2 linked regions of the Anolis sagrei genome follow. The protein of the gene in region 2 interacts with the protein of the main gene of each other region in a pairwise test. Links are inferred from orthologs where the notes say so. Each region holds a gene or a part of one and is shown on either strand. Other genes may lie near its edges.

Region 1 (17,094 bases), on a different chromosome or scaffold from region 2:
AGCAAAGGCATGTCTGCAAACTTTCAAAATTGTTACATGCATCTTGTTTTCAGTCTATTGGCACATATACTATAAACTATTTTCCAGATGAAAAAACACAATAAGCATTCAAAGAGTAAACACTAAGAGCTGTTTGATCGTGAGATAAACTACCACAGAAAGTGATGGAGTCTTCCTTGTAGGTTTGTAAACAGAAGATAGAAGGTCACCTGTTAGGGATGTTTTAACCATGGATTTATGCATTGGTAAGAGTCTCAACTGCGCCCTCAGTGGCGCAGTGGGTTAAAGCGCTGAGCTGCTGAGCTTGTTGACTGAAAGGTCGCAGGTTCAAATCAGATTCAAATCCAGGGAGCAGCGTGAGCTTCCGCTATTAGCCCCAGCTCCTGCCAACCTAGCAGTTAGAAAACATACAAATTTGAGTAGATGAATAGGTACCGCTCCGGTGGGAAGGTAACGGCACTCCATGCAGTCATGCTGGCCACGTGACCTTAGAGGTGTCTATGGACCTTAGAGGTGTCTTTGGCTTAGAAATGGAGACAAGCACCACACCTCAGAGTTGGACACGACTGAACTTCACGTCGGGGGAAACCTTTACCTTACCTAAGAGTCTCAACTAGATGGCCGAGGAGTCACTTCCAATTCTGTGATGCCATGCTATTCACAACAACTGAAAGAAATAAATGCCCACTGAGGAAACAGCTATACTTTCCCTTAGTTGTTGTTGTGTGCCTTCAAGTTATTTCCGATTTATGGCAACCCTAAGTCAACCCTATCATAGGAATTTCTTGGCACGTTTGGATTTGAAGCAGGGAATTACTCTTGCCCCACTCTGAGATTCAGACAAGAATGAGACATGCTGGTATCCCATAGAACTAATAAATGTATCAAAGCAAAAAGTGAAGCACACTCAGAAAAAATACACATGGTGGAAAGATGCACAGCATAGCCTTCTGTTCACACTGTACTTCTGCCCCAATAAAGAAGTCATACTCATTAACAGTTCTAATCTTTTTCTACTCATATGTAAGCATACACATATCAAAGGATAAAACTCAGGCTATGTGAAGACGGTTGAAAAGGAAACAAAGGGAAAAGCCTGCATACAGTCTAATCATAAAAAGCACTCCCAATAGGTTCAAAGGCACAACCCCCCAGTGAATAAAAGACTATGGCCTAAAGTAAACTATACTAAGCAGCTAATCTCCTTTGGGAATAGAGTTCATACCCAATAATAAAACTTCCCAGAAACTTTTTGTTGGCTACAGAACAGTTGGGTCTCCTGCAAAGTTGAACACAGCTTCAATAGGCCAAAATGTGCCCTCCCAATTTCACATATGATTAATCTATGCTGACGATTGTGCCATCACCACTCAAACAGGGAGCTTTGAAATGGTCAAACAGAAGCTCTCCGGAGTTTTAGGTGCTCTTACTGCCTATTACAGAGAAAACCAGCTGATTCCTGATCCATCTAAAACACAGACATGTGTTTTTCATCTTAAGAACTCTGAGGATTACCTGGGAAGGAATCTCAAAGAGGCATTGCAGCACACCAAAATACCTGGGAGTCACTCTGGACCATGCTCTGACTTACAAGAAGCACTGCTTGACTATCAAGCAAAAAGTGGGCACTAGAAATGACATCATATGAAAGCTGACTGGCACAACCTGAGGATCACAACCAGACATAGTGAAGACATCTGCCCTTGCACTTTGCTACTCTGCTGCTGAATATGCATGCCCAGTGTGGAACATATCTCACCACATTAAAATAGTGGATGTAGCTCTGAATGAGGCATGCCACATTATCACAGGATGTCTACACCGCACACCACTGGAGAAATTACATTGTTTAGCCGGCATCGCACCACCTGACATCCATCAGGAAGTAGCAGCCAGAAATGAAAGGACCAAGGCATTGACATCTTCGGCCCATCCTCTGTTCAGTTACCACCCAGCATGCCAACATCTTAAATAAAGAAATAGCTTCCTAAGCTCTACAGAAATACTCGCAGGAACACCTCAGCAAGCGAAAGTCCAAAAGTGGAAGGCTGAAACCCAAAACCTCAATCAGTGGCTGAGATCAAATGAGAAACACCCTCATGAGCACACAAAAGACTGGACAACTTGGGAGGCGCTGAACAGACTGCTCTATGGCACCATGAGATGCAGAGCCAATCTTAAGAAATGAGGCTACCAAGTGGAGTTCCCAACATGCAAGTGTGAAGAAGTGCAAACCACTGACCACCTACTGCAATGCACTCTGAGCCCTGCCCCATGCACAATGGGGGACCTTCTTACAGCGACATCAGAGGCACTCCAAGTGGCCAGCTTCCGGTCAAAGGAAATTTAGTATAATGCTAAGCTTTTAACCTTTTTATAGGTTTTTAAACATTATAATTATATTCTCAATTCACTTCTGACATGATAAATACTTTGTCTGCAAGGTAACTGTTTCTATCACTTGGTCCTCTAAGCAAGTATGATAGGTAGACATGCCTTCCTTGTTTTACTCACCCCCTTTCCCAAGACTGCTGTGTATTATCACCAGTGACAAATGAGCACAAACACCACTGATGAGGCAGACAAGACCCTCAAGGCTTGTTTAATACAATTAACTCTTTCAAAGAGCACATCACGAGAGTGACAATTATTTGCCTTTGGCTCACAAACAGAGGGAAGCAAACAAAACCGCTGGCTATCTGTCACACACATGGTATTGGTCAGCTTTACAATGAGCTGCTTTTTAGCAGACATGCATGTAACTTGCATCTCACGATCAGGAATTCAAACTCTTTCAGACTGTCAAAGAGAAAGGGCAGCAGTCATTAAGAGTTCAGCTACGACTCTGCTTGGTGACCATGACAGATTACCATGTTACGTCAAACATTGGTATTAAAGTTACACTATTTAATAGTATACTGTTTAATAAGTGTCTTAAGAATTGATATGTTTTAATGATTGTTTTAATATATATGTTTATTTTATTATGTATGTATGTTTACGTGGCATCGAATCATTGCCTGTATATGTAAGCTGCCTTGAGTCCCATATGGGGTTGAGAAAGGTGAAGTATAAATAGGGTAAATAAATAAATAAATTCACACTTATAGCAAATACATAATATACATTCTAACCAAAGGAACCAGGTGATACAGTTTCTCAGATTTCCCAAGCATTAATCTATCTAAACCTAACTCGCAAGATTACCCTCCTATTGCGCAAGTTCCTATCCTTTGTCACTAAGGTAAAACCAGGCGTACGAAAACAAATGTCCTTAAGTGAAGGATTTCAAGGGAATTTCCAAGCAATGAATGAAATTGTGTTTTCCTGATACTCTTTCCTCCAGTCCTCCACAACATCCTGCAAGGGGGAAATTACAAAGTAGGGAAGCACCTTGCTCAAGCATTAGACAGTGATAAACAGAATTGCTTGAAATGAACAACCCCACCTATAAGCCACAGGTGTACAACCCGATGGCCTCCAGATGTTGGAACTATAATTCCCATCAGCCCCAGCCAACAAAGGCAACAGCAAGGGCCGCAGTGTTGAAATCCAACTACAGTCTGAAAGTAACAAGAAGCACATCTCCGGTTTCAACCTTTGGCTGTTTTCAAAGAGGTCTTTCACTTTCACAAAAGACTCCTGGGCCACGAATACTGAAGAGACAGACAGCCAACAATAGCCAAGGTGTTTTGAAATGACACACCCAAAGTGCAAAACCTGATGGTACACAGCCAGCCTGCTTTTGTGAGAGAGAGAGTGTGTGTATTTAAGAATGGCATGACATTCTAAGTGGCATTATCGACTCCCAACACCTGGGCATCGCCATTGCCAAAAGACATATGGATGTGAACTTTGGAATACAAATCTCCCTTGCTGAGTTCATCGACTGGCATTCACCTGCCCCATTTTCTCCTCCTGCTGTGTGTTTGACCCATCTCTTTTCAAGCCCTTCAGAGGTAGAGGGGTCTGAAGGAGTCTACCGTATATCATGCAGCTGTGGACAAGTCTACACAGGGACCACCAAATGCAGCAGTGCCCAGACACGAATGAAAAGCCAGAGAAGTCAGCCACAGAAGAGCACTTGATGAACCAACCTGGGCACAGCATATTATTTGAGAACACAGAAATGCTGGACCACTCCAACAACCACCATGTCAGACTACACAGAGAAGCCACTGAAATCCACAACCCTAAAATTCAACAGAAAGGGAGAAACCATGAAAATGAACAAAATCTGGCTACCAGTATTAAAAAAACTCTAAAATCAGGACAGTAAAGAAAGAACAACACGCAAAAAGCAGGGAAATTCCAGACAAGAAACAATCAGGTCTAGCGAACACCTCCCAACAAAGGATTCCCCCAGGCAGCAACCAGCCAGGCTTTGAAGCTGCAAGGCCATTTGGTGCAAATCAATGTGGCCACTTGCAACATTCACACTTGCCTCTAGCAGACAAGAGTTCTTTCCCCCACCCTGGACATTTCACAGATATATAAACCTTACTTGGCTGGCTTCCAACAGACCCCTCAACTTCTGAGGATGCCTGCCATAGATGTGGGCAAAACGTCAGGGGAGAATGCTTCTGGAACATGGCCCTACAGCCCGGAAAACTCACAGCAACTTTCAGAGATGAGCTTCCAAGAGTCCTTCTGGGACAGGTTGAGCACCCCTTATTCTAGAATCCCCAAACTCAAAACTACCCAGATAGATGGCTGAAATTGGCACACCTTAGCTTTCTGATGGTCCAGTATAAACCCACTTTGTTTCAGGCACAAAATTATTTACAGTACTGTGTATAAAATGACCTTTACTCTATGAGTATAAGGTGTACATGGAATATAAATGAGCAACATGTTGAGACTTGGATCCCACCTGCAAGATACCTCATTACGTGTATATAATATGCACATACAGATATTCCTAAATCTGGAAGGGAAAAACGCAAAGTGAAAAACAAAGCATTTTGAGTCAAGAATACTAAACCTTTGGAGGGACCATAATGTTTTGTATAAGCATAGGCAGGTAGGCTGTTAGAAATGGTGAGAGTTGAAGTCCGAAACACCTGGAGGGTCAAAGTGCGCCTATGTCTTGTATTGTATAAAACAGGCCTGGGATAACTTGGGCCCTCCAGGTGTTTTGGACTCCAACTCCCACCATTCCTAATATCTACAGGCCCCTTCCTTTTCCCCCTCAGCCACTTAAGGGCCTGAAGCTGTCAGGAATGGCAGGAGTTGAAGTCCAACATACCTGGAGGGCCCAAGTTTGCCCATGCCTGGTATAAAAGGAGATTCCAATATCCAAGATCTCTCTATGTATATCTCTTATTATTAATAATATAATACAAATTATATTATTTATATTATAATTATATTATTAGGTAAAGGTTTTCCCCTGACATTAAGTCCAATTGTGTCTGGAGGGTGGTGCTCATCTCCCTTTCTTAGCTAAGCGTTGTCCATAGACACCTCCAAGGTCATGTAGCCAGCATGACTGCATGGAGTGCTGTTATCTTCCCGCTGAAGCAGTACCTATTGATCTACTCACATTTGCATGTTTTCAAACTGCTAGGTTGGCAGAAGCTGGGGCTGACAGTGGAAGTTCACACTGCTCCCCAGATTCGAACCTGTGACCTTTCGGTCAACAAGCTCAGCAACTCAGCGGTTTAACCCACTGCGCCACTGGGGGCTCCCAATTATATTATTATATTATATTTATATCTCTATGTATATCTCTTATTATTAATATAATAATTACATTATTAATATAATAATTATTATGTTATATTATTATATAATATGCTACCCCTCTATTCTGCCTTGGTTAGACCACACCTGGAATATTGTGTCCAATTCTGGGCACCACAATTCAAGAGAGATATTGACAAGCTGGAATGTGTCCAGAGGAAGACGATTAAAATGATAAAGGGTCTGGAGAACAAGCCCTACGAGAGCAGCTTAAAGAGCTGGGCATGTTTAGCCTTCCAAAGAGAAGACTGAGAGGAGACATGATCACCATAAATAAATATGCGAGAGGAAGTCATAGGGATGAGGGAGCAAGCTTGTTTCCTGCAGCCCTGGAGACTAGGACATGGAACAATGGCTTCAAACTACAGGAAAGGAGATTCCATCTGAACATGAGGAAGAACTTCCTGACTGTGAGAGCTGTTCAGCAGTGGAACTCTCTGCCCCGGAGTGTGGTGGAGGCTCCTTCTTTGGAAGCTCTTAAGCAGAGGGCGGATGGCCATCTGTCGGGGGTGCTTTGAATGTGATTTTCCTGCTTCTTGGCAGGGGGTTGGACTGGATGGCCCATGAGATCTCTTTCAACTCTATGATTCTATATTTATATCTCTATGAACATATTATTAATATAATTATTACTTTATTAATATAATAATATCAATATTATATTTATTATTATTATATTTATTATTGTGTGTGTGTGTGTGTATGTATATGTGTGTGTATATATATATGTATATATATATATATATATATATCTAATAAAGGATACTCAGCCTGTAGTATAACATTTGGCGAGACCACAATGTATTGTATGCAAGGGAATTCCCACATCCAAGAGTCCTCTCTGTCTATGGACATTGCTAATGGGAAACCCTGTTGGCACCAGGCCTTTTGGGTCAGGACAGAGCCCTGGCTGGAGGTTTCCCCTACCGGATTGGGACGCCCCCTAACCCTAGCCCCCCTCCCCTCCTCCTCCTCCACTCACTCTTGAGGGCCGCGATGAGGGTCTTCCCGTCCTTGATGAGCTCCTTGATGAACTTGTTGGTCTTGTCCAGCTCGGCTTCGTGGGACTTGAGCCTCTCGCGGAAAAGGGGGCTGTCCAGGCAGCAGTCGCTGAACTCCAAGGCGGGCAGCCCCATGGCTGCTTCCCCGGGACCCTCCAAAGCGAGGCTGAGAACAATGTTACGATCTGGAGAGTCAACAAACAGCCCAGTGCAAAAGATGCTCAGGATTGGCAAAGGCTGAGAAGAAATGTCCTTGATTCAAGGAGCCTGTTCCTTTAAGGCTGGGGAACCAAAGAGGCGCAGGATTCGCACCAGGCTTGCGGGCGAGGGCAAAGGCGCTCTCATGGCCGGAGCTCACTCCCGAGACACGCTTCGCATTCCGGGGGCGCGGCTCCCCATTGCGGTGGCTTGCTGGTGCAAGAGTCCCCTTCCTTCCCTTCCCTTCCCTTGGAGATGCAAAGGGCGGAGGAGGAGGAAGCAGCAGCAGCAGCAGTGCAGAAGCGGCTTCCCTTCACAGCGCCGCAGCCATCTCCGCCCGTCGGCATCCGGGCTCAAAGCGGGACACTCCGCTTCCCCATTGGAACGCCACAGAGCCCTTTCCGACCATTGGAACGTCGCGGGAAGGAGGGAGGGAGGGAGGGGAGGGGGAGAGAGTGTTGTGTTTTTTTTTTCTTCCTCCGAACGTGGCTCCGCCCCTTGCGCCAGCCGCAGCCAATGAGCGCCTCGCCTGCTCTGAAGCAAAAGGGAGAGACCCGGCGAAGGGGCGTGGCCAGCGTCATGTCAAACCGCATGGAGCCGCTGCCCCGCCCGCGGTTCTTAAAGACGCCGCCTCCCAAGGAAGGAAGGAAGGGTTGCTCAAGGGCATTGCTGCTGCTGCTGCTGCTGCTGCTGGGGAACCTGTTGCCGCGCCCGCCAGCACGCGGCAACAGGTTCCCCAGGGAAGTAACGGGAAGCACAGAAGGGGGATCTCAGAAATCAGTGCCCTTTTTAAAAGGGGGGTGGTGTGAGAGAATGAGATCACTACGTCATCCCCCTCCCCTAGCTTTAGCATTTATTGACGCAGCTAATTTGGGGTGTCATGAAACGCATTGTGATTATAGTTCTTGGGTGCATCTATACTGCGGTTTGACCCCACCTTTATCTTCATCACACTAGAGAAGAAAATCCACTTTAAATCCGGTTTCTGCCTCCTGCAGAATTCTGGGGTTTGTAGTTTAGTGCGGCTGTTAAAAGCACCTCCCTAAACTACAAACCCCAGAATTCTGCAGGAGGCAGCAACTGGATTTTAAGTGTTTTTTTCTCTCTTACTGTGATGAGGCCCTTTAAATGCCTTGTCTCAATGCTATGGAGTCATGGGAGCGGTAGTTTGGTGAGGCACAAGCCCTCTTTGGTGGAGAAGGCTAAAGTCTGTGAAACTACAACTCTCAGGATATATTTATTTACAGTATTTATATTCCGCCCTTCTCACCCCGCAGGGGACTCAGGGCAGATTACAATGTCCATATACATGGCAAACATTCAATGCTATAGACACACAACATATATAGACAGACACAGAGGCAATTTAACATTCCAGCTTTTCTTGAGGGTATTCTGGCCACCAGGGGAGCTGTCGCTTCACCAACCATTTGTGGCACTGATGAAGTACTTCCTCATTCTTTGCATGCTTGCTGGAAATTTTTATGGCCTCGTAAATTAGTTAAATTTGCCTCCCCGCAAGCTGCATTCATTCTACAGTGCACTTGCGTCAACCTTGGCTAAATGTGTGTGCTATGCACCTTATTTATTTATTTGCAACATTTTTACCCCACCTTTCTCCATCCTAGAGGAGAAAGGTGGCTTACACTTAGGCAACTATTTGATGCCTTCCAAAACAAACATGCAAATAGAATTATAAACTACATTTAAACATATAAAACAATGCCTTCCCTGTTAACCACGTTATCCAAAGTCATAGCCTGGGCCATTCTAATAGTCATTGCACATAATTCCATTTTATTTATTGCACAAACACTGAGAAGGCCCTGTCTCTCATCCCCTCCAATCACATCTGCGAAGGAGACAGGGCAAAGAGCAGGGCCTTCTCGGACAATGGTTCATAGGAAGAGATCTGTTTGGACAGGTAAGCTTGACTGGGGCTGAGCCCCCCCTCAGGCAGCAAATAATTTTGGGTTAATTCCCTGCGTGGACTGGAATCCTGGCATCTAGCAAAATGTGATGTGTCATTTCCAACTTATGGCAACCCTAATGTGAATCTTTCATGTGGGGTCTCTTTTACACCAGCCACTGGCAAACTTGGGCCCTCCAGATGTTTTGGATTTCAAGTCTGACTATTCCTAACAGCCTCAGGTCCCTTCTTTTTCCCCCTCAGCTGCTGAGGCTGTTAGGAATTGTGGGAGTTAAAATCCAAAACTCCTAGAGGATCCACGTTTGCCCGGGCCTCATCTACACTGTGAAATGAATGTAGTTCAGTACCACTTTTAGCTGCTGTGGCTGAGTGATAGGGAATCCGGGGAGGTATAGTTTAGTGAGACATGTGCACTTTGCCAGAGAAGGCTAAAGGCCTTGATACTCCAATTTGCAGGAATCTATAGCATTGAGCCATGACAATTAAAGTGGTGCCAAACTGCATTCATTCCAACAGTGTAAATGCACCTATGGTTTTCTGTGGCTGAGACAGTGCGACTTGCCCAAGGTCACACAGTGGATTTCAAAAGTGGAGATTAAAAACCCTGGTCTCCAGAGTCTTAGCACAACACTCAAACTGCTATATAATACTATACTGCAGGCATGGGCCAACTTGGGCCTTCCAGGTGTTTTGGACTTCAACTCGCACAATTTCTAACAGCCTCAGGCCCTTTCCTTTTCCCCCACAGACACTTAAGCAGAAAAAGAAAGGGAAAAGGAAGGGGGGCTGAGGCTATTAGGAATTGTGGGAGTTGAAGTCCAAAACACCTGGAGGACCCAAGTTTGCCCATGCCTGCTATACTAGCTGTCAGAGTGGCTGTGTAAGGGGCTTTACAGGCCACTCTGCATACAACATTTCCCTTTCCCCTCTGGCATAGCTCCTTGTGCCTTGCATATCCTACCAGGAAACCAACTTGAGAAATCCATTTCTGCTTCTGGCGGTTTCTAGCTTCGTCAGCGTAGTTTTCTCCTGAAGAGCACCACATCACATTATCGCTTTTGTGCTCATGATTTCTCCAGAGAGAATTGCTGGTGAACTTTGGCCACTTTTATTGTAGTCAACTTATACGTGTCACTTATATTTCGCTTTCCGTTCCTTAAATCCTATTATTTCATCTTTATTATTTTTTCCAATGCACCTAGACAATTGCCTAGAAATCACTCATTGCTTTTTGGCATTTGGGATTTTGCCTTAGCATCCCTATGCATATATGTATCTTGGGCCACTCTGGATGTTGAATCCCACACTAGATATTATATAGTCTTTCACCTTTTTCAAAAAGCCACCTGGAGAGGGACAATTCAGGTCAGAGTTGCTACATGAAAAGTAAACATCTAGTTTTTAAAATATTAATATATTCATGCGCTGTGCAACCATGAATCTGGGAATATTCTCCAAAAGCAAGCCTTGCTTTCACCATATATATCACACACACACACATTACTATGCCTTTGTATATAATAAGAGTGGGTATCCATGGATTTAGTATGGAGGGAGGTTTTTTTCCCTAAAACCAAATCCTAGTGGATATACCAAGGACCCACTGTAGATCATAATATTGTTATACATACTGCAGCTCCCTAAGTAATGGGAGTCTCTCATTTGGTATCAGCCACTGATTGAGTTTCGGGTTTCAGCCTGCCACTTTTGGACTCTCACTTGCTGAGGCTTTCCTGCAAGTACCTCTGTAGATCTTAGAAAACTGTTTCTTGATTTAGGACATTGGCGTGCTAGCTGATATCCGAACAATGCATGGGCCAGAGATGTCACTGCCTTTGAACTGGGTTATCTGAGTCCACACTGCCATATAACCCCATTCAAAGCAGATAATGTGGGATTTTATACAGCAGTGTGGAAGGGGCCTCATAAGTGTCCTAGTGTAAAACTATCTATGCATTTTTAAATAGCATTTTACATATTAGTTTTGTAATTTACATTTTTTGTAAAAATTAATGTCTTCTTTTATTATTGCCTCCATGAAAGTTATATTGATAATTGCTTTAGTAGTTGTTATCATCATCCTGCATAAAAAGCAACACAATACAGTGCTCTGCTAGATACTGTTGATCAATGGGGATATCAAGGGGCATGCTTTGGTCATGACCTCCCATCAGTTAAAAAAAATAGCCAGTCGTCTTGGGCTATAAGCCAGCAAATACCACAACAAAGGGATTATGAACCAACAGCCACAACAAAATTGTTGGCTAGCACAATAAGATTTTCCCAATCCCAATAATAAATAATAGCGTTAGAATGCTTGACACAGATGTAGGCAGATATGATTTTAGGAAGAACCTTGTCATAACTAATGCATACATGTTAACAGATTAAAATGTAAGCGTATTTAAAGCTGTCCATTTAGAAAAATGAATCTTCATAACCAAGACAGAGAGACAGACTAGACTGACCAAGGACAACCAGATGGCAACCCTGAAAATCCCCATTTCTAGGGTTTATGTTATGGTAGATTGAAACTTGGGAAGGAGGGTTAGCGAGTTGGTTTTGTCACGTTTTACATCAGAAATTATTATCTTTCTAGTCTATAACGTGAAACATTGTAGAAGCTGAAATAATGTCATTGTTGTAGTTGAAATAATGTCACTATTGTAGCGTGATCAGGAAACTATTGTAAGGCACTTCTAATAATAATGCTAGAATTTGTTTATCATATTGCTACTTTTCTGATCAGCCTCCCATCTGTGTTTAGGATTAGCTCTTCCAGATTAAATAAATGCCATGAAATTAAGGCATTAGTTGCTTCAGGTAATATGTTACTGTCTTTGAAGCAGATGGACAAACTTAGCATTACTGTCTTTTAATAAATGTACTTATGTTCCATTGTATCTCTCAAATGACGGCCTTTTGCTAGTAATTGCACACATAAATAATGATAATAATGATGATGATAATAAATCTTTACAACATATTAAAAGCAATAACACATAAACCATCTATAAAATAAAACATAAATAAGCATTTAAAACCAACTACATTATTGTAGGGTCGTATTGAGTCATATTGCACACACAAGCAGTATCATATCTTTTTCTTTAACCATGGCCCAGCAAATTCTCACTGTCCCAAATTTAAGACCTTATTTTCTTACATCCCAAATCTATCATATGTCTGGAGTAAGACTTGTGTGAGGAAGACAGAATCACAATCAAGACAAGAAAAGGAAAATATAATAAAAGATGCCGTGACTCACAAAAGGAACATTAATTCTCATATCTCTACATTGCAACAGTGGAAACAAAGTCCAAAGGAATCCAGCACAAGTACACAACAGGTTCATGGAACCAAAAGCCTATATAATATCTACTTGTTCACATAGGAACAGGAAGGCATGAATGGCTCCAGAGAAATGGAAACCAAGAAAGTAATTGTGTCATGAACCACACTTTAAAGAGAAATTAGAACAGAATTACCGCTTCTGCTAGGCATTATTTGATCTGCTGAGTGGAAGAGTGCACCTACACTGCATAATGAAAGCCGTTTGGCAGCACTTTAATTGCCATTGAACTATGGAATAATGGAGAGTTATAGTTTGGTGAGGCACCAGCATTCTTGAGCAGAGAAGGCTAAAGACCCTGTAAGATTACGGCTCCCATGATTCCACGGCAGTAAGCCATGACCGTTAAAGTGGTGTAAAGCTGCATTAATTCTACTGTCTAGATACACCTGAAGTGGGTTCTCATCCATTTTCTATCTTTATAAGAGCAATTGCACATTCCTAGGGAACTAGTGTGATATAGCCCCAATGATCACTATGACAAATTAAGACACAATGCATTTATTTATTTATTTATTTATTTATTATTTATTTGCGGTATTTGTATACCACCATTTTCAACCTCGAAGGGGACTCAGGGTGGTCCACAGCATTATCATTTCCCCACTAGTAATGTGCAAGTCCACATCATAAGCACGTGAAACATCTTCCAATCTTAGGAGCCAGTGTGGTGGACTAGAGCTCTAGGAGAATGGTTCGAATCCCTGCTCAGCTGTGGAACCCACTGGGTGACCTGGGGCAAGTCACACACTCTCCGCTTCATGGAAGGCAAAGGCAACTCTCTCCTGAACAAATTTTGTCAAGTAAATACCTTGGGGTTTTCATACTTGATGGCCCACAATATTCCAAGTTTTTGTTTACTTGCCTTCAGAATTCTCTGAGATGGCAGCACTGTGGCAACTTAGCCAGGAGAAGAAAGTTTATGTGATCAGAAAAAGATTTCCACATCCTCTGCCTAGCTGACTCTCCCTCAATAAGCATTGTTTTCCTTTAGCAAAAGACACAATGAAACCTGTCTTTCTCTGTAAATCATAATTTACTCCTTTCTGAGTGTATGTGATGTATTTTAAAAGATTAATTAGCCATGAATTCATTGTATGGTCCAAAGGAGCAGATAAGAGGTCAGCTACTGAAAGAAGGATGCAGCACTATTTTCAAGACGTATTTTTTATATTGTGAAGACCTTACCTTCAATATTAAGTCTTAATTCACATAGGGAAAATCCCTTCAATCTTTTATGTCAGTTATCGAAGACTGAAACCTGGGAATAGCTGCTGAGGAAACAGATATCCCTCAAAGGTTTTGTGAACCACTAAAGGCTGCCTTCATTGGTTTAGTGACTAAACCAATTAGCACAGCATTTATTTTATAGCACTGGCTTCAAACTCATGCTTTGATATCTTGACATTTATTAATGTGATGAAAGACCTTAACTGTTTCCAGCAGAAAGAAGAAAGGGAAAATAAATGAAAACATGGCCTGCAGCCTATTATTATTAATAATAGCATTACAGCTTATTTTTTTCTAATGATCCTTGGACTCAAAGTGGCTGGCTTACAGATTATTAAAACCAATTCAGACTGAAAACATACCAAACCATTTGAAATATATATTTAAAATAATTTTAAAATAATTATTTTGTAGAAGTAAGTTTAATTAAAGACAGTTTAAAATCAGTAAAATAGTACACTATTAAAAATCCTTGCAATCAATTTTTAAATCTTTAGCAGAATATGAAGATTTTCACTTGCTGATAAACCAAAAGACCAAGTGATCTCCATCTGTAATGATTAAATAAAAGAAACGTGAACGTGTAGCTATATCAGAATTCTGCTTCCAGCTTCCAAGCAGAAAATATTCTTAGAGATATTTAATAAATAGTGGGATTTTAAACTTTCTTCTTTTGACACTACTGTGTACGCATCAATTAATCAATCATGGAGCCTGTGAACATTACAGAGGACAATTTATAAATTGCGTTTTTGATTTATGCAGAGAGCTGGGCCGTGCATTGTTGTCACCTGACTTTATATTCTATCACAGAATCTCAGGGCAGCATGCAAGAAAAAATAATCACTCTAGCAATTTAATTGAATGCATTCTCAAGAATATATTCAAGTAGGGCTTTTATGCCAGCCAATTGGCAAGTAAAATACTTACCATCTACATATTCTTAGAATGCCACTATGTATAGAGAAGACATCCAACTCTATTTTGCTTTTCCACCCAAATTCAAATAAGCAATTCTAGTTGTGAACCAGTGGACTGGATGGGATTGTTTACTCCTTAAAAGAGCCCCTGGTAAATGAAAAATCATATCACAGAGTAGGAATAGAGACTATACTCCCCTGAAAACTCTGCTTTTGGGCTTGTGTGCACTGCTGGATTGAGCCTTTAGCCTGGATGCTATGGTTTCAACAGTGGTCACAAATATGTTTCCACAGCTAGTGTGCCAGCTGAAAGTACTGCTAGAGAAGTCTGATCTGGCCATGGAAACGTGCCTTAGTTGTGTGCCATTTGGGTTGCTGTGATATGCTCAGTGGAGGAAACCTTCGGAAAAGGTTCCAAATGTTCAGTGACCTGAAAATACTGCAGCCAAGTGATTGAACAAGGAATATTACATAGAACATACCAGTTTCTTACAGCAACAGCTTTTCTGGCTATATCTTACATTTTTCCAGCCAATTAAAAGTTCTGGTTATTATATATTATATTATCCCATCTTTTCCTTTTCTAAGATTTAAGTCAGCTTACAAAGTTTAAACAGAAACAGCTCGTGTTAAAACTATGATTATACTATCAACAAAATACCAATACTACAGCATTCGATCTCTGTTAATTTTTAATTTCTGTATGTATGTATTTTATCTTTTACAATTTAGCTGTAAATCACCTAGAGCAGTCTCGGATGGAGGGCGATTAATAAGAAATTAAATATGATATGATATGATATGAAAATTAAATGTAGTGAAAGCAAGCTGTTAAAAAGATGACTACAAATGTAACAAAATGTCAACTACATATGTAGATATATTTTAGCTATATCATGAGAAGGCATGTCTCACTAGAAAAGAAATCAATGCTTTTTACAGTAGATGGAAAGGGGGAAGATAGCCTTCCAGATGGATAGATTCACTCAAGGAAGCCACGGTGATGATGTTATCACACCAGGGCTTTAAAACCGGTGGCCCCACATTTCCCCCACCTGCAGAATTCTGGGAAATGTAGTTTAGGGCAGAGCCTCAGCTACAGAGGTCTTCACCTTCCCAAACTACATTCCTCAGAATTCTGTAGGTGACAGAAATGCAGAGCTGCCCTCTTTAAAACCCTGGTGTGATAACATTCAGCACTGGAACGGGGCTGTTGATGGCTGGTGACTCAGAGGCCTCTCCTTTATGGGTTTGCCATAAATCTTAAAGTCAACTTGATGGCAGTTAACAGCAACAAACATGAAAGGGACTTGCCCACCTGAGTGGTCAATGATCATAGGCCTGCTGAAATGAAAATGTCTTTACCTGACCAGGACTGTGCCAGTATAGCATTGCTAGGAAGAGAGTTCCAGAGCTTGGGAGCAGCCACCAAGAAAGTTTTGTCCTATGTTTCCACTTGATATTCCTATGAGGGTGACGGGATAGAGAGAAAGATCTGCCAAGATCCCAAAACATCTTACAATCCATAACATGGTTAAGTACTATTAGGTCCTACATGGCTTGGATCCAGCCTGTTGAGAGGCTGTATTTATCTCACTAATCTTGCCCAGTCTTCATGGCAGCTATCTCTCATGGACTAGCACATTTCGTGAGGATACAAAAGATAGCCACCAAAGTGGCATGTCCCAGGTTGTACAACTCCAAAGCAGGACTAGGTTAGCTTGTTACCTACTGTCCTTCCACTGGTGGATAAATTCAGGCAGGCTTTTAGCAACTGGCTAGAAGCTAAAGAAGACACATCTAACAGCAGGGATGGGAATTGTTCTATTCACCATGTTTCCTAAAGGGCTTTTAAATTGTTTTTGTTTTATGTCTCACGGTTGTTTCTGATCTATGGTGAACCTGAGGCGAAACTATCATAGGGGTTTCTTGTCAAGATTTGTATAGAATAGCTTTCCTACCCTCTGAGGCTGAGAGTGTGTGACTTGTCCAGGATTACCAAATAGAATTCATGGGTTAGCAGGGATTCAAACTCAGATCTCCAGGGCCATTGCCCACTGCTCAAACCACTACACCACGCTACAGTTGCTTCCTGCCCATTGCCACAGACAACGCTTCTTAAAATTCCACACCAATCTTTCTAACAGTTTTGCTCTACTGCTCCTTCCTCCTCACTGTGATACAGAGGCATGCTGGGAGAGGTCTGCATTGTGAGTGAGACTTTTTTCTTTATGAATTTATAGATAAATGTTGTACATTTGAAATACTGAGCACTGGGACAATGCAAACTGTTACTTGGCTGTATCTCAAGTGAGGCTTCGTTGGTTGCCTGATCTTGTATTGTAACGTTTCAGCAGTATCACAATTGGGATAGCTACAGAAACAAATGTAGTTATAAAGCAAATTAAACTCTCTAGAGACCCCTTCCGGCCGACTCAGGCACAACTCAAAGAAAGAAGAAAAGAGAACATGGATCTGAAAAAAAGAATGATTCCTGCAGGAATAGCTGGTCAATGCAAATAGTAGAAACATAATATAACAATGTGTAAAAAATATTTTTAATCAAGTGCTCTTAGAAGGCTGCCAGCATTCATTACAGATTTGAATTAGGGATTTGAAGAGGGCATCATATTCCAGCCTACATGTAATTGTTAGTCCCAAGATAGCAGATCCATTGCATCAATGAAGACTTAGTAAGACAACGCTGACTGAATGGGT
Region 2 (17,356 bases):
ACAACAACAATAAAGTCATAGATCTGGTGCTAATATCTAGAAATAAAAAAAGAACAGATGGGAACAGAAGAGCCTGATGTAAAGCAATGCGGAGGAGATGCTGTCTTTCCCAGGACGGCAGGTGCCAAACCCAAAAGCCATTGTCGGAAAGGGCAACTGCACAAAGGAGAGGCAGTGTTTTCCCCCATTGTCTTGCAAATCGGCCAACTTTCACATTCCAAACAGCACGGCTGGTGATTTCTTTATCCCTGCGTTTCTCAACCCTTAATGTCGTGGTGAACCCCAACCATAACGCTGTTTTTGTTGCTACTTCATAGCTGTCATTTTGCTACTGTTATGAATCATCATGTAAATATCTGATATACAGGATGTATTTTCAGTCACTGGACCAAATTTGGCACAAATACTCTATACACCCAAATCTGAATCCTGGTAGGGTTGCGGGGGATTAATTTTCTCATTTGGGAGTCTTCTGTGTGCCTAGGAAGGAGTTTCTCATCCGATTTCAGCCACTCATTGAGTTTCCAGGTTTCAGCCTGCCACTTTTGGACTCTTGCTTGCTGAGGTGTTCCTGCAAGTATTTCTGTAGAGCTTAAGAAGCTATTTCTTGATTTAAGGCATTGGCTTGCTGGTTGATAACCGAATAGAGGATGGGCTGGAGGTGTCAGTGCCTTGGTTCTTTCATTGCTGGCTGCTACTTGTAATATAACATAACATAATATAATATAATATAAATAATCTATCTATATAAAAATGCTCTGTGCATAATGAGTTCCTTACAAACAAAAGAACCAATGAACAAAATCACACCAAATTTGGCAACGAAACGTCTCACAACACAAGAAGTGACCATCACTCAAAAGATTATGATTTTGTCATTTGGGAGTTATAGTTGCTGGGATTTATAGTTCACCTACAATCGAAGAGCATTCTGAACTCCAGCAACGATGGAATTGGACCAAACTTGGAAACTTTCATGACAAACAGAAAATACTGGAAGAGCTTAGTGGGCACTGACCTTGAATTTTGGAGTTGTAGTTCACCTACATCCAGAAAGCACTGTGGACACAATAATGGATCTGGATATTCAATATGCCCAAATGGGGGCATATTGAGGAAAATAGACCTTGACATTTGGGAGTTGTAGTTGCTGGGATTTATAGTTTGCCTACAATCAAAGAGCATTCTGAACTCCAGCAATGATGGAATTGGACCATACTTTTCACACAGAACTCCCATGAGCAAAAGAAAATACTGGAAGAGTTTGGTGGGCATTGACCTTGAATTTTGGAGTTGTAATTCACCTACCTCCAGAGAGCACTGTGGACACAAACAACGATGGATGTGGACCAAACTTGGTACGAATATTCAATATGCCCAAATGGGGGCATATTGAGGAAAATAGACTTTGGCATTTGGGAGTTGTAGTTGCTGGGATTTATAGTTCACCTACAATCAAAGAGCATTCTGAACTCCAGCAACGATGGAATTGGACCAAACTTGGCAACTCCCATGACCAACAGAAAATACTGGAAGAGTTTGGTGGGCACTGACCTTGAATTTTGGAGTTGTAGTTCACCTACATCCAGAAAGCACTGTGGACACAATAACTGATCTGGATATTCAATATGCCCAAATGGGGGCATATTGAGGAAAATGGACCTTGACATTTGGGAGTTGTAGTTGCTGGGATTTAAAATTCACCTACAATCGAAGAGCATTCTGAACTCCAGCAACAATGGAATTGAACCAAACTTGGCAACTCCCATGACCAACAGAAAATACTGGAAGAGTTTGGTGGGCACTGACCTTGAATTTTGGAGTTGTAGTTCACCTACATCCAGAGAGCACTGTGGACACAAACAACGATGGATGTGGACCAAACTTGGTACGAATATTCAATATGCCCAAATGGGGGCATATTGAGGAAAATAGACATTGACGTTTGGGAGTGGCTGGGATTTATAGTTCACCTACAATCGAAGAGCATTCCAAACTCCAGCATCAATGGAATTGGACCATTCTTTCCACACAGAACTCCCATGACTGAAAGAAAATACTGGAAGAGTTTGGTGGGCACTGACCTTGAATTTTGGAGTTGTAGTTCACCTACCTCCAGAGAGCACTGTGGACACAAACAACGATGGATCTGGACCAAACTCGGCACGGATACTCAATATGCTCAAATGTGAACACTGGTGGAGTTTGGGGAAAATAGACCTTGACATTTGGGAGTTGTAGTTGCTGGGATTTATAGTTCACCTGAAATCAAAGAGCATTCTGAAACCCACCAATGATGGAATTGGGCTAAACTTCTCACGCAGAACCTCCAAACCGACAGAAAATACTGTGTTTTCTGATGGTCTTTGGTGGCCCCTCTGACACCACCTCACAACCCACGCAGGGGTCCCGACCCCCATATTGAGAAGTGCTGCTTTATCCCTACCAAGAATGACAACAATTGATTATAGACCTATATTACGAAATACTCATAGGAAATAGTAAACATTGCTGGAAAGAAAACCATTATTATGATTACTATGACTGTTTGTTATGATTGACCCACTATGGTGAGTCAATCCCCTCAAACCCCTCCAGTAGGTTGAGTAATTCACCTAGGTTCTGTGTGCCAAGTTTCGTCCAGGTCCCTCATTAATGGGGGTTTCAGTTTCTCTGGTTGTGGGTGAACTAAAACTCCCAGAAAGGAGGGTCAGTTCTCCACAAACCCCTCCAGTAATCAAATGTCGGCATATCAGGTACATGTGCCAAGTTTGGTCCAGATCCATCATTGTGTGGATTCACAGTGCTCTTTGGATGTAGGTGAACTACAACTCCCCCAAATCAAGGTGAATTTTTGCCAAAGACCTCTAGTATTTTTTGCTGGTCATGGGGACTCTGTGTGCGAAGTTTGGTCCAATTCCATTTTGGTGGAGGTCAGAGGGCTCATTGATTGCAGGTGAACTATAAATCCCAGTAACTCCGACTCCAAAATGTCCAGGCCAATTCCCCTCTAAACCCACCAGTATTCAAATTTGGGCATATCGGGTATGTATGCCAAGTTTGGTCCAGATCCATCATTAGGTTCATAGTGCACTCTGGGTGTAGGTGAACTACAACTCCTATAAATCCATCCAAAGACCTCCAGTATGTTTTGCTGGTCATGGGAGTTCTGTGTGCCAAGTTAGTTATTTTCACATTTATTATTATTATGTGCATAATAATATTATGTGCATAATAATAATAATAATAATAATAATAATAATAATGGAGTTTGCTTCTCTGAAGGTTTTTACACAGAGGCTGGATGGCCATCTACCAGGAGGGCTTTGATTGTGTCTTCCTGCCTGGAAAGAGGTTGGACTGGATCACCTTTGAAGTTCTCTTCTATTTCTATGATTCTATAATCATCATCATCATCTCTAATTATGATGGAATCTCCTCTGGAGATTTTAAAGCAGAGGCTGGGTGGCCATCTGTCGGGAGGGCTTTGATTGTGTCTTCTGGCCTGGCAGAATGGGGTTAGACTGGATGGCCTTTGAGGAATCACTTCCAATACTACGATTCTATAATAATAATCTTTGATAATAATAATGACAATGGTGGAGTCTGCTTCTCTGGAGGTTTTTAAGCAGAGGCTGAGTGGTCATCTGTTGGGAGGGATTTGATTGTGTCTTCCAGCCTGGAAGAATGGGGTTGGATTGGATAGCCTTTGAGGAAACCCTTCCACCTCTATGATTCTATAATAATAATAATAATAATAATAATAATAATAATAATTGATAATGATGATGATTATGGAGTCCGCTTCTCTGGTGGTTTTTAAGCAGAGTGGCCATCTGTTGGGAGGGCTTTGATTGTGTCTTCCAGCCTGGCAGAATGGGGTTGGACTGGATGGCCTTTGGAGGATCCCTTCCAACTCTATGATTCTATAATAATAATAATAATAATAATAATAATAATTGATAATAATAATAATGACGGTGGAGTCTGCTTCTCTGGAGGTTTTTAAGCAGAGCCTGAGTGGTCATCTGTCAGGAGGGCTTTGATTGTGTGTTCCTGCCTGGCAGAATGGGGTTGGACTGGATGGCCTTTGGAGGGATCCCTTCCAACTCTATGATTCTATAATAATAATAATAATAATAATTGATAATAATAATAATGACGGTGGAGTCTGCTTCTCTGGAGGTTTTTAAGCAGAAACTGAGTGGCCATCTGTCGGGAGGGATTTGATTGTGTCTTCCAGACAGGCAGAATGGGGTTGGACTGGATGGCCTTTAAGGAATCCCTTCCACCTCTATGATTCTATAATAATAATAATAATAATAATAATAATAATAATAATAATAATAATTGATAATAGATAATGATGATGGAGTCCGCATCTCTGGTGGTTTTTAAGCAGAGACTGAGTGGCCATCTGTCGGGAGGGCTTTGATTGTGTGTTCCTGCCTGGCAGAATGGGGTTGGATTGGGATAGCCTTTGAGGAATCCCTTCCACCTCTATGATTCTATAATAATAATAATAATAATAATAATAATAATATTTGATAATAATAATAATGACGGTGGAGTCTGCTTCTCTGGAGGTTTTTAAGCAGAGCCTGAGTGGTCATCTGTCAGGAGGGCTTTGATTGTGTCTTCCAGCCTGGCAGAATGGGGTTAGACTGGATGGCCTTTGGGGAATCACTTCCAACACTACGATTCTATAATAATAATAATAATAATATTTTTTTATAATAATGATGATGATGGAGTCCGCTTCTCTGGAGGTTTTCAAGCAGAGGCTGAGTGGCCATCTGTCGGGAGGGATTTGATTGTGTCTTCCAGCCTGGCAGAATGGGGTTGGACTGGATGGCCTTTGGAGGATCCCTTCCAACTGTATGATTCTATAATAATAATAATAATAATAATAATAATAGATAATGATGATGATGGAGTCCGCTTCTCTCGTGGTTTTTAAGCAGAGGCTGAGTGGCCATCTGTTGGGAGAGCTTTGATTGTGTGTTCCTGCCCGGCAGAATAGGGTTGGACTGGATGGCCTTTGGAGGATCCCTTCCACCTCTATGATTCTATAATAATAATAATAATTGATGATAATAATGATGATGGAGTCCGCTTCTCTGGAGGTTTTTAAGCAGAGGCTGAGTGGCCATCTGTCGGGAGGGCTTTGATTGTGTCTTCCAGCCTGGCAGAATAGGGTTGGACTGGATGGCCTTTGAGGAATCCCTTCCACCTCTATGATTCTATAATAATAATAATAATAATAATAATAATAATAATAATGACGATGATGTAGTCTGCTTCTCTGGAGGTTTTTAAGCAGAGGCTGCATGGCCATCTGTCGGGAGGGCTTTGATTGTGTCTTCCAGCCTGGCAGAATGGGGTTGGACTGGATGGCCTTTGGAGGGTCCATTCCAACTCTATGATTCTATAATAATAATAATAATAATAATAATAATAATAATAATGACGACGATGATGGAGTCTGCTTCTCTGGAGGTTTTTAAGTAGAGGCTGAGTGGCCATCTGTCGAGAGAGCTTTGATTGTGTCTCTTGCAAACTAAAGGCAGTTGTCGTTTCCTTGATTGGATAACAACAACAATAATAATTAATAATAATAATAATACTTTATTTAAGGTTTTCCTCTTCCTATTATTGTTGTTGTTAACGTTGTTGTGTATTTTTCTGCCAATGAGTTGCATTATCTTAAGATACGTCCAAAGTACAGGAGACTCAGCTTAGTTATCTTGGATCTAAGGATCGATTGTGCAATTCTTAATCACAGAGCTGGAAAGGTCTCATAGGCCCCAGGCGGCCATCTAGTCCAACCCTATTCTGCCAGGCAAGAAGACACAATTAAAGCCCTCCTGGCAGATGGCCATCCAGCCTCTGCTTCAAAACCTCCAGGGAAGGAGACTCTGCCGGACTTATTATTATTATATTCCACTACTGAACAGCTCCTGAACATATACAAAACGTAATTTTCCAACCTTTGTAACTATTTAGCAATATAAAAGTGTCTTCTGAGCATATAACAAAGTATCTTTTCCAACCATTACATGTATTAATGATATAATAGAGGCAAAATGGACTTCTGAGCATGAACAAAGTACTCTTTTCCAATACTGGAAATGTTTAGCGATATTAACTCAACAAACCAGGCTTCTGAGCATGTGCAAAGTGCTCTTTCCCAACCATTGTACCTATTTAGTGACATAACAGCAACGAAGTAGGCGTCTGAGCATATCCAAAGTGCCCATTTCCAACAGCTGTCGCTATATAGTGACCAAAAAGCAGCAAACCAGGCTTCTGAGCATGTCCAAAGTGTTCTTTCCCAACCATTGTAGCTATTTAATGACCTAAAATCAGCAAAGCGGGCTTTTGAGCATGTCCAAAGTACTTTTTCCAAATACTGTTGCTATTTAGTGACCAAAAAGCAGCAAACCAGGCTTCTGAGCATGTCCAAAGTGTTATTTCCCAACTATTATACTTATTTAGTGACCCAAAAGCAGCAAACCCGGCTTCTGAGCATGTCCAGAGTGCCCCTTTCCACAGACTGTTGCTATTTAGTGACCCAAAGGAGGAAACCAGGCTTCTGAGCATGTCCAAAGTGCCCTTTTCCAAAAATTGTCACTATTTAGTGTCCTAAAATCAGCAAATCGGGCTCCTGAGCATGTCCAAAGTGCCCTTTTCCAAAGACTGTTGCTATTGAGTGACCAAAAATCAGCAAAGCAGGCTTCTGAGCATGTCCAAAGTGTTATTTCCCAACCATTATACTTATTTAGTGACCCAAAAGCAGCACACCAGGATTCTGAGCATGTCCAAAGTGCCCCTTTCCATAGACTGTTGGTATTGAGTGACCCAAAGGAGGAAACCAGGTTTCTGAGCATGTCTAAAGTGCCCATTTCCAACGACTGTCACTATATAGTGACCTAAAATCAGCAAAGCAGGCTTCTGAGTATGTCCAAAGTGACTTTTCCAAAGACTGTCGCTATTTAGTGACCGAAAATCAGCAAACCAGGCTTCTGAGCATGTCCAATGCGCCCTTTTCCAAAGACTGTCGCTATTTAGTGACCAAAAAGCAGGGAAGCAGGCTCCTGAGCATGTCCAAAGTGTTCTTTCCCACCCATTATACCTATTTAGTGACCAAAAATCACCAAACCAGGCTTCTGACCATATCCAAACTGCCCTTTTCCAAAGATTTTTGCTATTTAGTGATCTAAAATCACCAAACATGCTTCTGAGCATGTCCAGAGTGCTCTTTTCCAAAGACTTTTGCTATTTAGTGGCCTAAAAGCAGCAAACCAGGCTTCTGAGCATGTCCAGAGTGCCCTTTTCCAAAGACTTTTGCTATTTAGTGGCCTAAAAGCAGCAAACCAGGCTTCTGAGCATGTCCAGAGTGCTCTTTTCCAAAGACTTTTGCTATTTAGTGGCCTAAAAGCAGCAAACCAGGCTTCTGAGCATGTCCAGAGTGCTCTTTTTCAAAAACAGTTGCTATTGAGTGACCAAAATGCAACAAACCAGGTTCTGAGCATGTCCAGCGTGCCCTTTTCCAAATATGTTTGCTATTTAGTGACCTAAAAGCAGCAAACCAGGCTTCTGAGCATGTCCAGACTGCCAACTGTTGTTATTTAGTGACCTAAAATCAGCAAACCTGGCTTCTGAGCATATCTAAAGTGTTCTTTACCAAGCATTGTACCTATTTAGTGACCCAAAATCAGCAAAGCAGGCTCCTGAGCATGTCCAGAGTGCTTTGTCCAAAGACTATTGTTATTTAGTGACCTAAAAGCAGCAAACCAGGCTTCTGAGCTTGTCCAAAGTGCCAACTGTTGTTATTTAGTGACCTAAAATCAGCAAACCTGGCTTCTGAGCATGTTCAAAGTGTTCTTTCCCAACCATTGTACCTATTTAATGACCCAAAATCAGCAAAGCAGGCTTCTGAGCATGTCCAAAGTGCTCTTTCCCAACCATTGTACCTATTTAGTGACCTAAAATCAGCAAAGCAGGCTCCTGAGCATGTCCAAAGTGCCCTTTTCCAAAGACTGTTGCTATTTAGTGACCTAAAAGCAGCAAACCAGGCTTCTGAGCATGTCCAGAGTGCCCTTTTCCAAAGACTTTTGCTATTTAGTGACGTAAAATCAGCAAACCAGGCTTCTGAGCATGTCCAGAGTGCCCTTTTCCAAAGATTTTTGCTATTTAGTGACCTAAAATGAGCAAACCTGGCTTCTGAGCATGTCCAAAGTGTTCTTTCCTAACCACTGTACTTATTTAGTGACCAAAAAGCAGCTTCTGAGCATGTCCAAAGTGCAAACTGTTGTTATTTAGTGACCTAAAAATCAGCAAACCTGGCTTCTGAGCATGTCCAAAGTGTTCCTTCCCAACCATTGTACCTATTTAGTGACCCAAAATCAGCAAACCAGGCTCCTGAGCATGTCCAAAGTGCTTTTTCCAAAGACTATTGTTATTTAGTGACCTAAAATCAGCAAACCAGGCTTCTGAGCATGTCCAAAGTGTTCCTTCCCAACCATTGTACCTATTTAGAGACCCAAAATCAGCAAAGCAGGCTCCTGAGCATGTCCAAAGTGCTTTTTCCAAAGACTGTTATTATTTAGTGACCTAAAAACATCAAACCAGGCTTCTGAGCATGTCCAGAGTGCCATGTGGCAGATATCAGGCTCACAACGCTAAGAAACCCCCAAACCTTGACACTTGCCACGCCCATGGAGCTCCACAAAGGCTTTGCATCCCTGCCTATGGGGTTCCTGAAGGCCTCCTCCGCCCTTGCCAAGGGGAATACTCACCCAGATCTGGCCTGGGCGTCGCCTCCTCCTCTTCCTTCGGCCGCCAAAGAGAGAAAAGGCGCGCCCTCCGCCTGCCCAGGATTGCCACCCACCGCCAAGCCACGCCCACTCCAGCCCTGGACCAATCCCAAGCCGCGGCTGGCTAGGCAGCGTTCTATCCCCGCCCCTTTTGTTTTGCATGTTGCAACATTGCTTCATCATAGGGAAGGGCTTTGTGGCTTGACCTCCCTGATTCACTCCTATTGAATCCTCTTGTCTTTGGACCCATCTTTGGGGATCCATAAAGGATATTGACAATAATAATAATAATAATAATCTATAGACATAATAATAGTGAAAATGTGTATTACTATATATATCTGTATAATAATATAATATGTATATTGTGTGTTTATATTATTATAATATAATATGTAATAATATAATATGTATATTGTGTGTTTATATTATTCTAATAATATAATATGTAATAATATAATAATATAATATGTATATTGTGTGTTTTATATTATTATAATAATATAATATTATATTAATTTTCCTATTATATATTATTATATATTCATATTTATTATATTATGCTTATAAGATATATAACATTACTATATATCTGCATAATAATATAATATATATCTGTATAATAATATATTTTGAGATTTATTATAATATAATATAATATATTTTGAGTTTTTATATTTAATAAATTATACTTTTATTGACTATATATGCATAATTTGTTACTATATATTATTTTATATTCATTATTATATTTTCATATTATATATTATTATATATTCATATTTATATATATATTAATATATTATACTTTTATTGACTATATATGCATAATTCATTACTATATATTATTTTATATAATTATATATTCATTATTATATTTTCATATTATATATTATTATATATTCATATTTATTATGTTATGCTTATAAGATATATAACATTACTATATGCATAATAATATAATATATATCTGTATAATAATATAATATCTGTATAATAATATAATATATTTTGAGATTTATTATAATATAATATAATATATTTTGAGTTTTTATATTTAATATATTATACTTTTATTGACTATATATGCATAATTTTTACTATATATTATTTTATATAATTATATATTCATTATTATATTTTCATATTACATATTATTATATATTCATATTTATTATATTATGCTTATAAGATATATAACATTACTATATATCTGCATAATATAATATATAATGCGTTTACATTTATTATACATGATATAGAACATTAGTTACTATATATCTGTATAATAATATAATATATATTGAGTGTTTATATTTAATATATACACGTAATAAAAGTGAAAATGTGTATGTATAAAACATTCATTACTATATATATATATTGTGTGTTTATATTTAATATATTATACTTTTATTGACCATATATGTATGTATGTGTGTATATTTGTGTGTGCTTGTGCATATATATACGTGTGTGTATGAATGTATTTATGTATATGTATATATATGTGAGCATGTGTATATGTATATATGTGTGTGTATATTTGTGTGTGCTTGTGCATATATATATGTGTATGAATGTATACATGTATGTATATGTATATATATATATGTGAGCATGTGTATATGTATATATATGTGTGTATATTTGTGTGTGCTTGTGCATATATATATGTGTATGAATGTATACATGTATGTATATGCATATATATGTGAGCATGTGTATATGTATTTATGTATGTGTATATTTGTGTTTGCTTGCGCATATATATATGTGTGTGTATGAATGTATGTATGTGTATATGTGTATATGTATGTGTGCATGTGTTTATTTGTGTATATATGTGTGTGCCTGTGTATATGTATCTATGTGTGTGTGCATGTATATGTATGTGTGTGTACATATGTATATTTGTGTGTGCTTGTGCATATATATACATGTGTATGAATGTGTGTATGTGCAGGGGCAGCTCACCCATTACGCAAAGTAAGCACTCGCAGTATAGTTGATGTTGCCCAGGGGCGCTCTTGAGGCACTCTTGGGGGAAAATAGACCTTGACATATGCGAGTTGTAGTTACTGGGATGTATAGTTCACCTACAATCAAAGAGCATTCTGAACTCCACCAGTGATGGAATTGAACCAAATATGGCACAGAGAACTCCTACGACGAACAGAAAATATAGATCAGTGATTGGTTGGGGGGGGGGGGGGGGGGCGCCAAAATACTGTTTGCTTACCGTTGAAAATTACCTAGGGCTGCCTCTGTGTATGTGCATATGTATATGAATGTATGTATATATGTATATATGGTGTATTTTTTGGGTTTTAAAGTCTGTTCCACTGGGGGAGGGTGTTTTTGGGGGTGGTGGACACTCGTTGGACTGTTATGTGTATTGTGTCAAAATTTTGTGTCCATTCGACCAGTGGTTTCTGAGTTATGTTAATCCCACAAACGAACATTACATTTTTATTTATATAGACTAGCCGTCCCCTGCCACGCGTTGCTGTGGCCCACATGGGGGTTCTGTGTGGGAGGTTTGGCCCAATTCCATCGTTGGTGGGGTTCAGAAAGCTCTGTGATAGTTCAGAAAGTGAACTATAAATCCCAGCAATTACAACTCCCAAATGTCAAGGTCTATTTTCCCCAAACTCCACCAGTGTCTACATTTGGGCATATTGAGTATTCATGTAGTTTGGTCCAGATCCATCATTGTTTGAGTCCACAGTGATCGCTGGATGTAGGTGAACTACAACTCCAAAACCAAAGGACATTGTGCACCAAACCCTTGCAGTATTTTCTGTTGGTCATGGGAGAACCGTGTGCCAAGTTTGGTTCAATTCCATCGTTGGTGGGGTTCAGAATGCTCTTTGATTGTAGGTGAACTATAAATCCCAGCAACTACAACTCCCAAATGACAAAATCAATTTTTTTTTTTAGTGAAGGACATAAATTGGGTTGTTAGGTATCTTGTGTCCAAATTTGATGTCAATTCGTCTAGTGGTTTTTGAGTTCTGTTAATCCCACAAACGAACATTACATTTTTATTTATTTATATTCATATGTGTGTGTGTATATATGTATGTATTGGGAGGGATAGCTAATATTCCAAAGACGGAAAGGGGTTGCCCTGGATGGCCTTTGGGTTTTTCTTTCCAGCTCTAGGATTCCATGATTAAGAGCCATGTTTTCGTTCTGATGCAAGCCCATCTGATGTAACCCACCTCTTTCCCTGCTTTCCTTTGTGTTGATCCAAGCGGAGAGGAAATCAAAATCCATATTTGGCCTGCATTTTCCTCTGACAGCACAGCCAGCCAAGCCTATAATTTTAATAATGTGTCAAGGTGGAATTCCTCTGATTTAGGGGAAGAGCGACATCATCCGCCAGGCACTCCGGTTGAAGAAAAAGAAAACCCCAGAGGGTTTCTTTGGAGGCTTCGGTCAGGTTTTATCTATGGGATCTGTTTTGAGAAGCAAAGAGGGGGTTTGGAAAGCAAAGATCTTTGTCTAGGGAAGGGCGAAGGAGGAGAAAGCAAGGACAAGACATTTGCCTGGAGAAACAAAAAAGGTGGTCAGTTGAAACATTCACGCCTAGCTCCAGCAGACAAGAGTTCTTTGTCCCACCCTGGTCATTCTACAGATATATAAACCCTTTGTCCTAGTTTCAACAGATCTCACTACCTCTGAGGATGCTTGACATCGATGCAGGCAAAACGTCAGGAGAGAATGCCTCTAGACCATGGCCATATAGCCCGAAAAAACCTACAACAACCCAGTGAAGGTGGCCTGTCTCTGATCCAAAATGCTTGGGGCAAAAAGTGTTTTCTGTTGAGGAAATTATTATTATTTATTTACTAGCTGTCCCCTGCCATGCGTTGCTGTGGCCCACATGGGGGCCCTGTGTGGGAGGTTTGGCCCAATTCTATCGTTGGTGGGGTTCAGAATGCTCTGTGATTGTAGGTGAACTATAAATCCCAGCAACTACAACTCCCAAATGTCAAGACTCTATTTTCCCCAAACTCCACTAGTGTTCACATTTGGGCATAGTGAGTATCTGTGCCAGGTTTGGTCCAGATCCATCATTGTTTGAGTCCACAGTGCTCTCTGGATACAGGTGAACTACAACAAACATTACGTTTTTATTTATATAGACTAGCTGTACCCACCACGCTTTGCTGTGGCCAACCTGCCCTCATTCTTTCTCTCCTTCTTTCTTTCTCTTCTTCCTTCCTTCCTTCCCTCCCTCTTTCCTTCCTTCCCTTTTTCTTTCCCTTCTTCTTTCTTCCTTCTCTACCTGTTTCTTTTCTTGCTTCCTTTGCTCTTTGGTTCCATCCTTCCTTGTCTCTTTCCTTCCTTCCTTCCCTCTTTCTTTCATTCCTTCTCTCCTTCCTTCCCTCTTTCACTTTTTTATTTCCTTCTCTCCTTCCTTCCTTCTCTACCTTTCCTTCCCTCCTTCTTTCCCTCTTTCTCTCCCTCCTTCTCTACTTCCTTCTCTATCCTTCTTTCTTTCCTTCCTTCTTTCTCTCCTTCCTTCTCTACTTACTTCCTTCTCTATGCTTCTTTCCTTCCTTCTCCCCTTCCCTCCTTCTTTCTCTCCCTCCCTCTCTACTTCTTCTCTATCCTTCTTTCTTTCCTTTCTTCTCTCCTTCCCTCCTTTCTCTTCTCTCCCTTCTCTACCTTTCTTTCCTACCTTTTCTCCTTCCCTCCTCTCTTTCTTCTCTCCCTCTTCCTGTCCTTCCTTCCTTCTCTACCCTTCTTTCTTTGCTTCCTTCTTTCCTTCCCTCCTTCTTTCTCTCCCTCCTTCTCTCCTCTTTTTTCTTTCCTTCTTTCTTTCCCCTCCTTTTTTCCGTTCTCTCCCTCCTTCTCTATTTATTTCCTTCTCAGCAAAAGTAAGGAAAGGAAGAAGGAAGGGAAAAGAAAGGAAGGAGGGGGGAGGGAAGAGGAAGGAAAAAGAAGAAAGGAAGGAAGGAAGCAAAAAGAAGGAAAGGAAGAAGGAAAAAAGGAAGAAAGGAAGCAAAAGGAAGGGAGGCAAGGGGAAGGAAATGAAGCTAGGAAGGAAAGAGGGAGGAAGGGAAAAGGTAAGGATGCAGGAAAAAGAAAGGAAGGAAGTAAAAGGAAGGAGGAAGGAAAAAAGAAGGAATAAAGGAGGGAGGGAAGAGAAAGAAGGAAAAAGAAAATAAGGAAGCAAAGGGAAGGAAGGAAAGAATGAAAAAGAACGAAGTAAGAGGAAGGGAAGAAAGGGAAAAAGGAAGGAAATGAAGCAAAAAGAAGGAAAGGAAGAAAGAAAAAAGGAAGGGAAGGAAGCAAAAGGGAAGCAAAGGGAAGGAAATGACGCTAGGAAGGAAGGAAGGAAGGAAGGAAGGAAGGAAGGAAGGAAGGAAGAAGGGAGTGAAAAGGAAGGAAAGGAAGCAGGAAAAAGAAGGAAGGAAAGGAAGGAAAAAGAAGGAAGGAAAGGAAGCAAAAGGAAGGCAAGGAAGAAGGAAAAAGAAGAAAGGAAGAAAGCAAAAGGAAGGAAAAAGAAGGAAGAAAAGAAGGAAAAGGAAGGCAAGGAAGAAGGAAAAAGAAGAAAGGAAGGAAGCAAAAGGAGGGAAAAAGGAAGAAAAGGAAGCAAAAGGAAGGCGAGGAAGGAAAGGAAGAAAGGAAGGAAGCAAAAGGAGGGGAAAAGGAAGGAAAGGAAGCAAAAGGAAGGCAAGTAAGAAGGAAAAGGAAGGAAGGAAGGAAGCAAAAGGAGGGGGAAAGGAAGCAAAGGAAGCAAAAGGAAGGCAAGGAAGGAAAAAGAAGGAATAAAAAAAGAAGAAAAAGAAGAAAGGAAGGAGGGAGGCAGGCAAAAGGAAGAAGGAAAATGAAGGAATGAGGGAGGGAGGCAAAAGGAAGGAAAGCAAGCAAGCCAAAGGAAGGAAAGGAAGAAGGGAAAAGAAGGAAGGAACTGGAAATAAAGCCACAAAATAAAAGAGCTGATCTTCTTTTGGAAATGGTTCAAAACCTGGATTTGCCACCTATCTAACCAGCTCAGTCGGGAAGGAACACAGCAATAGGAAGCCTGAAAAACAACAACAAGAAGGGAGGAATAGGACAAACACATCCTGGGAGGTAAAACAGCAATGGATTTGCAGAGGAAGTGAAGCAATCTCTCTGTGGAAAACCCTCAAGAGGAGCACAACATTGGCAAGCTGCTTTTTGGCGTCTGGAGGTCGTGAGTCACAAATAATTATTGACTAATTGTATGGATTGTTTTTCCCCCAGTGAAGCATCCCACGGAGTGAGCCAGCATGGCATAGTGGGTGAAGTACTTGTGAAGTCGATAGGAACTTTAGGAGAATCTGCCCAAGAGGAGAGACCCTGGGACCCCACCAAAGCAAGGAAAAATATGCCATCAAAATGGAGACAATCTGCCATATCGCGGATACGGGGGCCTTTCGGGGTTTCGGTATCCGCGGTTTGGAGGAGCACCGATTCGGGATGCCCTCGACGACACTTGGTGTAGTCACACTCTCTCAGCCTCAAGTTGAACCCGATAGAAACCCCCTTTGGAGACATCGCAACAACGTGAACAAGCCGCCATACAACTTGCCCAAGGTTACCAAGTGGGTTTCCACATCTGAGCAAGAATTCGAACCTGGGTCCAAAGCTGATTCTAATTCTCCTTGCCTTCAACTCCTCCTCGCTCCTTTTTCCTGAAACCCGACAGCCCCTGAATTCCTTTCCCTGGAAGTCATCATTCTCTTTCCAGCAAAAGCTGTTTTGCATTAATTTCTTGCCAAGTTTGTAAAACACACTTGGTTTATATAAGCAACCATTTCGATGAAGGGAAAGATCTGGCTGGAAAGAGGCACAGAGTGACATGCAAATCACATGTCAGGTTGTGTCACCGACTTGGGGTTCACCCGCTGGGGGAAACAGAACTCTGTGCATGCTCGGAGGAACTCTGTACATTAGGCTTGGGCAATCCATGGTTCTAAATGGTTCTAAAGTACTTACAAAACTAAAGTTCTGGTGGTGAAAATTTGAGAACTCTAACAAAACTTTCAAAATTTAATTATTATTTCATTACTGGTGATTTTAATGACAGAACCAATTAGGAACTGCCATTTATTATGAAATTTTGAGAGTTTTGTTAGAGTTCTGAAATTTTCACCACCAGAACTTTAGAACCATTTTGTAACCATGGATTGCCCTTTTGTAAGTACTTTAGAACCATTTAGAACCATGGATTGCCCAAGCCAACTGTACATAATAAAACAAGAAACATACAACATCAATCTATCTATCTATCTATCTATCTATCTATCTATCTATCCATCCATCCATCCATCCATCCATCCATTTAACTTGCATACCGCCACTCCCAACTCGGCCCAGAGCAGTCCACATAGAATCATAGAATCAAAGAGTTGGAAGAGACCTCATGGGCCATCCAGTCCAACCCCCTGCCAAGAAGCAGGAATATTGCATTCAAATCACCCCTGACAGATGGCCATCCAGCCTTTGTTTAAAAGCTTCCAAAGAAGGAGCCTCCACCACACTCCGGGGCAGAGAGTTCCACTGCTAAACAGCTCTCACAGTCAGGAAGTTCTTCCTCATGTTCAGATGGAATCTCCTCTCTTGTAGTTTGAAGCCATTGCTCCACGTCCTAGGCTCACAGAAGCAGACCAAAACAACACAACCAGCCTTAAAATATCAATAACAAAACAATAGGCGGCGAGAACAGGCATAGTCCGGGTTGTTCACCCGTCAAAAGCTTGCCGGAAAAGAAAGGTTTTACAGGCTTTCCAAAAAGCAAGTTGGTCTCGGATAGTTCGGGTTTCAACTGGCAAGGCATTCCATAAATAAGGGGCTACGATCGAGAAAGCTCTTTGCCTAGTAGATGACAAATGATAAGTCCAGATGTTAGGAACTTCAAGCAAATTTTGGTCTTCAGACCGGAGTAATCTCTGGGGTTGCTAGGGGGTTGGTCAAGTTACGCTGGCCCCAGACCATGTAAGGCCTTAAAGGTTAGTACCAGCACCTTGAAAGTGATCCGGTACTCAATCGGTAGCCAGTGCAGCTGTTGGAGAATTGGGGTGATGCGACACCTCGCCGGCATCCCGATGAGAAGACAAGCTGCCGCATTTTGCACCAGCTTCAGTTTCCAGATCACTGACAAAGGAAGACCAATGTAGAGGGTGTTACAGTAGTCAAGCCTCGAGATGACCATCACCTGAATCATAGAATCAAAGAGTTGGAAGAGACCTCCTGGGCCATCCAGTCCAACCCCCTGCCAAGAAGCAGGAATATTGCACTCAAATCACCCCTGACAGATGGCCATCCAGCCTCTGTTTAAAAGCTTCCAAAGAAGGAGCCTCCATCACACTCCGGGGCAGAAAGTTCCACTGCTGAATGGCTCTCACAGTCAGGAAGTTCTTCCTCGTGTTCAGATGGAATCTCCTCTCTTGTAGTTTGAAGCCATTCTTCCGCGTCCTAGTCTCCAAGGAAGCAGAAAACAAGCTTCCTTCCTCCTCCCTGTGGCTTCCTCTCACATATTTATATATGGCTAT

What was found.
Region 1: the proteins of CDC42EP2 (region 2) and ARHGAP26 interact in binary tests that used the Homo sapiens proteins (3 or more experiments, as listed by UniProt). The two-hybrid records come from large-scale screens. The link is inferred for Anolis sagrei from reciprocal best matches to the Homo sapiens genes CDC42EP2 and ARHGAP26.

What each region holds. Positions count from the first base shown.
Region 1 is NC_090022.1:95,716,813-95,733,906, reverse strand, and holds the start of ARHGAP26 (rho GTPase-activating protein 26), read right to left. Parts: upstream 7,400-17,094; 5' UTR 6,882-7,399; coding exon 6,728-6,881; intron 1-6,727. UniProt on the Homo sapiens protein: GTPase-activating protein for RHOA and CDC42. Facilitates mitochondrial quality control by promoting Parkin-mediated recruitment of autophagosomes to damaged mitochondria.
Region 2 is NC_090032.1:10,713,684-10,731,039, forward strand, and holds the start of CDC42EP2 (cdc42 effector protein 2), read right to left. Parts: upstream 8,882-17,356; 5' UTR 8,802-8,881; intron 1-8,801. UniProt on the Homo sapiens protein: Probably involved in the organization of the actin cytoskeleton. May act downstream of CDC42 to induce actin filament assembly leading to cell shape changes. Induces pseudopodia formation in fibroblasts in a CDC42-dependent manner.